Daphnia pulex: one gene and its partner. The protein of the gene in region 2 purifies or fractionates together with the protein of the main gene of each other region. This does not show direct contact. Links are inferred from orthologs where the notes say so. Each region holds a gene or a part of one and is shown on either strand. Other genes may lie near its edges. The genes, in order: U3 small nucleolar ribonucleoprotein protein IMP3-like and something about silencing protein 10-like.

What was found.
Region 1: the proteins of something about silencing protein 10-like (region 2) and U3 small nucleolar ribonucleoprotein protein IMP3-like purify together in Homo sapiens (affinity purification with mass spectrometry; 3 studies listed by BioGRID and IntAct, with this or other methods). This does not show direct contact. The link is inferred for Daphnia pulex from reciprocal best matches to the Homo sapiens genes UTP3 and IMP3.

Annotation. Positions count from the first base shown.
Region 1 is NC_060021.1:8,086,207-8,089,569, forward strand, and holds U3 small nucleolar ribonucleoprotein protein IMP3-like, read left to right. Parts: upstream 1-1,683; 5' UTR 1,684-1,844; intron 1,845-1,905; 5' UTR 1,906-1,942; coding exon 1,943-2,079; intron 2,080-2,142; coding exon 2,143-2,250; intron 2,251-2,308; coding exon 2,309-2,515; intron 2,516-2,582; coding exon 2,583-2,655; intron 2,656-2,718; coding exon 2,719-2,742; 3' UTR 2,743-2,798; downstream 2,799-3,363. Other genes in the region: transcription factor VBP-like, read left to right, coding at 278-766, 825-893, 974-1,096; uncharacterized protein LOC124194159, read left to right, coding at 3,044-3,184, 3,247-3,310. UniProt on the Homo sapiens protein: Component of the 60-80S U3 small nucleolar ribonucleoprotein (U3 snoRNP). Required for the early cleavages during pre-18S ribosomal RNA processing. Part of the small subunit (SSU) processome, first precursor of the small eukaryotic ribosomal subunit.
Region 2 is NC_060024.1:11,303,503-11,307,644, reverse strand, and holds something about silencing protein 10-like, read right to left. Parts: upstream 2,769-4,142; 5' UTR 2,675-2,768; coding exon 2,477-2,674; intron 2,406-2,476; coding exon 2,183-2,405; intron 2,117-2,182; coding exon 1,992-2,116; intron 1,934-1,991; coding exon 1,792-1,933; intron 1,726-1,791; coding exon 1,608-1,725; intron 1,543-1,607; coding exon 831-1,542; 3' UTR 790-830; downstream 1-789. Other genes in the region: protein D7-like, read right to left, coding at 3,070-3,137, 3,198-3,353, 3,423-3,514, 3,584-3,658, 3,715-3,862, 3,934-4,069, 4,139-4,142. UniProt on the Homo sapiens protein: Essential for gene silencing: has a role in the structure of silenced chromatin. Plays a role in the developing brain. Part of the small subunit (SSU) processome, first precursor of the small eukaryotic ribosomal subunit.

The DNA of each region.
Region 1 (3,363 bases), on a different chromosome or scaffold from region 2:
TATCCCACACCACTGTGCCACCCAATATTGACGACGATGACCTTGAATAAAGTAAAGGGATGAAACGTGTTAATAGAAAATAGTATGGAGACTACTGTTGGGGGAGTAGGTCGATGACTTAAAACAACTTAAGCCCAGTTGGCCAGTTCGTTGGAAGAAGGTCATGTCATCGACTCGTCGATACATTTCATGGTCGTCCTCTTGATCTTACTACAGTATCGAAATCATCGTCGTCAGTTACTCGAGTGTTATCGACTCGGTTAGAAGTGCTCATTTGATGATGGAGACTAAGAACTCGATCTTGAATGCGTTACTCCAACAGGCCATTTTTAATAGTCAAGGTGTTGGTGCCAACGTTCCCGTGAACTTAAGCATGTCGTTAAACGACGAAAGAAGTGAAGTTACCAGCTCGTCATCGTCGGCCGACGATGAATCGCCCGCTGATTTGTCTAGTCGCAGTCATCACCAACGTGAAGATTCGCCGATTCCGCCATCGTATCAACATCATCCTGACTCATCACAGCTAATGCATGCTATGGCGGCTGCTTTCTCCTTCCAGCGGGATCTGATGGCGCAACAAAACAAGTCTGACCATCTTAATCAATCAGATGCAACAAGTCCGGCCTCACCTGCTGATCCTTCTCACCTGGTTGCCAAAGCCTTGGCCTCGGCCACCACGAGAAGGCCGAGGAGTGAGAAGAAACCTATTCCCGATGATTTGAAGGATGGCAAATATTTTGAACGCCGACGTCGGAATAATCTTGCAGTAAGTGATCTATAAAAATTTCCAAATTACAGAATTTTAAAATTATCTTTTTCTGAAGGCTAAGAGATCTCGAGACATGCGGAAAAACCGTGAGGATCAAGTTACAGTTCGCGCCAATTTCCTTGAGGTAGGATTTAATATCTAGTAAACAATTTCACTGGTTATTCATACTTCAATTTGAGTGTTTTTTATTTTGTAATTTGACAGAAGGAGAATTCGGTCTTGAGAGCTCAAGTGGCCACTTTGAGAGACGAAGCATTCGCCTTGAAGCAAATGTTATTGCACAAGAACGCTTCCGCCATTCTCCGTAGTCAAGCTGCCACCAGTTGAGCTTACGTTGTGGGGAGAACAAACAAGAACTTTGTCCACGTTATTGTTTTTACCTTTATATTTACCAATGCTAATCCCTCCTGTTTAACTGATTTCTCTTTCGGTTTCAATCCATCACGTCTTTTATTTATCATTTCTTTTTTAGACGTGCTCGTCTGCTATCAACCGACTAAGCTTCACAGTGCCAAAAATAAACGAAATAGAAATCAGTTTTTCTCTTGTCGACAATCTTTCAATCATGACCATCCGTCCTTGATTTTTTTTTAAATATTACACAGTTACCCACATGTTGAATACATTAAACAAAGTCCTTGGTGAAGACATCTTTTATCAAGAAACTCGAGTCAAAACTCAGAATCAGTCCTAAATGGAAACGTCGCATGTTTTAACAATGTTTTTTATGTTGGAAAAAACAGGAATTTACGTGGAAGCATATGACGCATATTTTTAGTTTTAATACAAGCTAGCTGTTGGCGATGCACTTTGAAATAATAAATATTTAAAAATAAGAACGAAGGGCTCGAATATTAGATTGTAGCATGCTGCCACCTAGTACTTTGTTTAACTATTAAAGAGAATTCAGCAGCCACACACGTGTGAGATTTCCGTCGTCTGCAAGTTGTCTTTTTTTGTCTGCTGTTTGTAGTTTGTATCAAACTTTTCGTGCGTTTCGCGAGGGGATTGCAAGGTTTAGCAGCTTTATTCTTCAATAATTAATTTCGAAATCAGCAACACATCTCTGTTCCAGGTAGAGTACAACGTCATAGAAATAAACTCATCGATTTTTTATTATAAGAATTAACTCATAGGATTTCTGTGCAACGTCTGAAAAACTAACAAAACAGAATGGTCCGAAAACTAAAGTATCATGAACAGAAATTGTTGAAAAAAGTAGATTTCATCTCCTGGAAGCTTGACAACAATGTTCATGAAGTGCAAATTCTTAAAAGATACAGAATTCAAAAAAGAGATGATTACACAAAGTAAGTGGATTTTAAATGACAGATTTCTTAAGAAATCATTTTGACGATGTATCTTAATTGCAGGTACTGCACACTTGTAATGCATGTAAAAAAGTTGGCAAACAAGATAAAGGAGCTCGACCCCAAAGACCCTTTCAGAGTGGAGTGCAGCGCTGCTCTTTTGGAAAAACTGTACAATTTTGTTTTCATATAATTTCTGAAGGTTACTTGACTGTTATCTTAAATTTAGATATTCCATGGGTTTAATTCCAACCAAGTGGTCCCTTGATCTTGTTTCCAAAATAACAGCATCCTGCTTCTGTCGAAGAAGACTTCCTGTGGTCATGGTTAGGGCAAAGATGGCAGATTCCATCAAAACTGCAACTACATTTGTGGAACAAGGACATGTCAGAGTTGGTCCTGAAGTGGTAAAAGACCCAGCATTTCTTGTTACCAGGTACTTATTAAAACTTTTCAATTATTGATTGCATATAAATGACTCAGTTACTTTTTTTATGAATTAGAAATATGGAGGATTTTGTGACCTGGGTAGACTCCTCAGCTATTAAGAAACATATTATGGAATACAACGAGATGGTAATAATGATCATTATTGCAATTTTTTAAAGAAATTAATCAATTTCATTCCTTCTATTTCAGAGAGATGATTTCAATATGGCTTGACTTGTTTGACGAAATGCAACTTGTATGGAAATACATCCCGTTTTCTATCTACTAAATATCGCTCATTTCCTGTCATTTTTAGAATAAAATTAATTCATTGAGTTAGATAAGTATACATTCTAGTTCAAACTTCTCCTCTGAGGTTAATGGGGTTTCCGTAGTGCTTCAAAGGGGGGGAAAACCACGGTTAATCTTAAAGGCTCAAACATTCATCGACACGGTAGGTTATTACTAACCCTTAACCGGAAAATTTATACAGTTTTCCATTCACTTTTGATTGAATCACAAGTGTCAAGGAAACATGGCTGCCAATATGTCCTTCATTTTTGTTTGCTTAATATTCATTCATCTAGTTTATTCAGGATTACCTTTTAGATCCAAAAAATTCAACAGGCAATCGAAAAGTACATTGCGGAATTACCAAACTGAATTCTTTAACGAGGTAATGCTCATGCATTTATTACGTTTATATGAAATTGTAATACGTTTCACTAAATTGTCAAGGTTTTCCAAGACCATTGGGACCGTAAAATGAGAACTCTTGATCCAAAAGCAAATAAGAGTTTGTGTATTTTATTATTCTCCCAATTTTATAATGGAGTGATATAAAATGTGTTTTAC
Region 2 (4,142 bases):
TATGCTGGTTCTCATTGATAAATTTAAACCACTTGCCGTAGTCTCCAACTATATTCATAGGATTCAGCAATTTTTTTTAAATCGAAATTTAAGAGATGCAGCGCAAGTAACCGCACATCCTGACGGGCTTCCGGTTTAAACGGTGATTAACATGACAAGCGTAGCGTATAAACATATTTTCAATCCATCGGACAATTAAGTCAGTTTGTTACCCCGAACATGAAGCCCTGAATTCCCCTAACTGAAACCTTAACATGTGTTTGTTTACCTACTAACCTAAAGTCGATCGTTTATTACATTCATTTTTACTTTTGATATCTTGCGGAGCTAAATTATGACTTCGTGGAACAACACCTTCGTTTTTAGTTTGTTTAGTTATTCCTGAGAAATTCTAAATAGCAGAGGAATATAGTCAGAAAATGTCTGCCTTTATTTCACATTTAAAATGTGACAAGAATGATAAACATTTTGCTGCTTTTATGATTCAGATAAAAGCATTCATTGCTGACTAATTTATAAAAAAAAACGAGGTTTTTAAGATATCAGCCTATCAGGTTTAAAAGATTTGTCATAAGCAAAATGTAAACAGCAAAGTGTTAACATTCATATGAAAGATTACTACTACCGAAAGATTACTATCAGACAACTTGATAAAAAAAAACTGCGCAAGGGCAACTGAAATGGAAAATGAAATGTTAGAAAATTTCAACCGTTTGTTACCTCGAAGAACGTATTCATTCTTACCCAATTACTTGGAAGGAAATGAAAAAAATAAATCATTCAAGCTACTTACACTTAAACAGTATATTTGTAAAGACATATTGAAAGGTTTACTTAAGTTTAACACTTCGAATGACGGTCGCCTTAATGCCAGAGATCTCACCGCCGTATTTCTTGAGTTCTTTGCGAGGCTCGCGAATCGCGCCCTTCCTGCGGATATTTGCCTTTCGGAACTTCATACGGTGTTTGACACGAGGATTGCGCTGTTCTTTCGACCGATGCGGTGTCAAGCCCTTGTTTTTAGCAATTTGATAGTTGATGCCACGTTTGCCAATGTCCTCTTCTCCTTGCTCTGAAGCATTTATGGCTGAATCAGCTCCAGCAGTCAAATCAAGGTTTGGATCTTCGTCACCATCTTCACTTTCATCTTCAGAATCTTTCTTTGATTTACTGACCGCTTTGTAGAAATCTAATGCTTGCTCTTCGTCTCGAGTCAAGGGTACGTTGATTTTCTTTTTCGTGACAGCATTCTTTTCCTCTGGCTTGCTTGTCTCGACTACAGCCGACTGAGGACGACTTGATAAAATGCGCAGTTTCTTTCTTGGAGGAATGACGGTGCGTACAAAGTCTTCACGAGTCATCTTTTCATCCTCTTTAATTTTCGTTAACAAACTGTCGATCTCCGGCTGTAGACTTGCACCTGCATTTTCAAGCTGATGTAGCAAACTTCGGAACTGAACCAGACGTTTAACGACAGGGTGATTCTGCACGGATATTCTTTTAGACTTCAGCACAAAATAATAGCCAATCTGTGTGCAGTAGCTGAAAAATATAAACAGACGAAAAATGTAATAAAATTTCAAGAAGAGGAGTTGTACGTAAAATACTTGAGGATGAGCTGGTATTTCGATGTGACGTAATCCACTCCTGGACTTGCAGGTAGCACTCCTTCCGTCACTAATTTTAAAATGGGTTCTAGATTGTTTTTAAGCTCTGCCATTTGACCTGAAAGATAAGATAGGTGTTTTTAATACTAAACATCGATAATTTAATTCAGCGATTAGAAGTTACACTTGAAATCTTCAACGAGTTCAATCAGTTCTGGAGACTCTTCCGTCAATAGTTTAAGTTTTTCTCGTTTGGATAAATGAGAAAGATTAACGTCAATTTTCTCTTCCTGTACAGATGTTTGTCCTTTGATTTTGTCAGCTTCCTGTAATACAAAGAAGATTAAATAAGATGCTCCAACTTTAGTTTCATTAATTTGTCACTTTTAAGTGAGTGATGAAATCTAAACCAAAATCTGCTTCTTCCAACTGTTGGGCCATTCTTTGCTGAATTGCAAGTGCTTCTTGTTCTTCTAGTTCTGCTACCTCAGCATCCGACTCATTTGCATCTAGAATATTTTAATGGTTATTACTGTAGCAGATAACAGAAGATGCATTTTTTAATCGAAATATACCATCCCATTCTTCATCAACGTAGTCAGCATTGTAGTATGCTGATCTTTTTTTTCCCCATTCCAGATTTTCTTCTTCATCATCTCCTTCCTTCTCATCTTCCAGTTCATTATCAAGGGGAGGTAATGGTTCTGCATCTAAACGGGCCTTCTTCAGCTTTTTCTTTTTTGACATCTTCAATGTTTCTTCTTCGTCAGATGATGAAGCTACTCCCAATACATCTTCCTGAAATATAGGAAAATTTACAACCAATAAAAAACTAGATATTAACAGAGTAATTTCACACATGTTAATACCTGTATGTATCTTTTGGGCCTTTTCATCAACTTGGCCAATTTCTCTGCACCTTCGCGTTCCTCGTTTTCGTAGTATTCGTCAACAGCATCATATATGAATTCCGATGCATTTGGGTCGACGGCATCCTGATATTCTTCGTCGTCCGATACAGCATCCACTTTCGTTTTACGACTGGATGTACCTTTAGGCTTGCCCATCTTAACTTAATTGTTATTCAACTTTGTAGGTTCCAACTATCCCACACGTGGTTCTAAATCTAACTGAATACTGAACAGCTCGTCTGACAGGTGTTCGTCTGCAATATCTTTGAATGCATTGCTGCCAAATTTCCATTGCAACTAGAAATTATTTTTTGACGGTATTTTTTGATTTTTTTTCTCATGGTTTTTTAAAGGAAAAGCATTTTTGGAATTCCAAGAATTTCTTTTCTTAAAACTAAGTCTTGTTTTGTTGAAAAGGATATACCTGAACCCAAAATGAAATTTATTAACTCAAAAAAGGTCTGTGTTTTCATAACAAATGAACTTGAAAAGTGAAACAGGATATTTCAAACTTGGAGTAGGTGACCGTATTATGGAGTAGGTACTACTAATTATAAATTAGGAAATTCTTCCGGGGAGAAGCGAAATGTTCGGTCTGGTTCAGAAATATGGCTCCAACCTTGGAAATAATATTAAGATAACGTTCTTTGATACTTATGATAATGACATATTAACTCACCCAAAAGTCCTCTGCCTCTTCCGATTGCAGGAGTACTTCCAGCACTACCGTTACGTGAAGATCTAGCAGGCGAAGGAAGTCCTTTTGATTCTTCAACATGCTCTTTTGGCACCTGAAAGTTTGCTGCAATTCGACTTAGGCGTCTTACTGGATTCTCTACAAATTGTGTAAACAAATTGAATAAGAAAATCTAATTTTAGTGTAAACGAGAAGATAAAAATTTACCAGTTGGTTTTCGAGGTGGTACTGGAATAATCGTTTCCTTTTGTACTTGCTGGATTTTCTCTCCTTTAGCCACAAATACTCTTTCCTTTTCTCTAAAGTAGAAATTAAATATTTAGCAAATAATAAAATAGTTCAACATGATTTGATTTATGTAAGTATACTCCCTCTCCCGCAAGCGTTCTCGTTCGTTTTCGCGGTATTCCTTACGCTTGGCTTTGGATAACCCTTGAGGAACACTAAAGAGGAATAGTTGTACATAAAAATCTATGGGCAGCAATATTAATACAATTACGTCATGTAGTTGGCCTTAGCACTCATTATTTCAGACGAGAAGCTAGGAGCAGTCAATGTTGCATCATCCCAGCTCTCTGATAACTCAGTAGATGGTAGGATTTCATTATACTTCAGTTTTGGTTGAAAAAACTTTGTTTGTTTGTCCCCTAAACAGGTGGTAATACAAATTAATAAACCAAATTACTGAATGAAACATAATATATGGACTTAGACTTACCCTCCCACGTTTTCTTATTAGCCTCTTTAGCTAACTTGTGCTCACAAGATTCTAGGTGATCATTCAATTCACTCCTTCTAACATAGTGCAGGTGCCAATATTGGCATTGAACAAAATCATGGTTTTTTGGAAGATTCTGCAAATTAAGTTGCATCACAGACGTAAAGGTATTTAATGATAACAGTAAACTAGTAAAAGTACTTACTCTA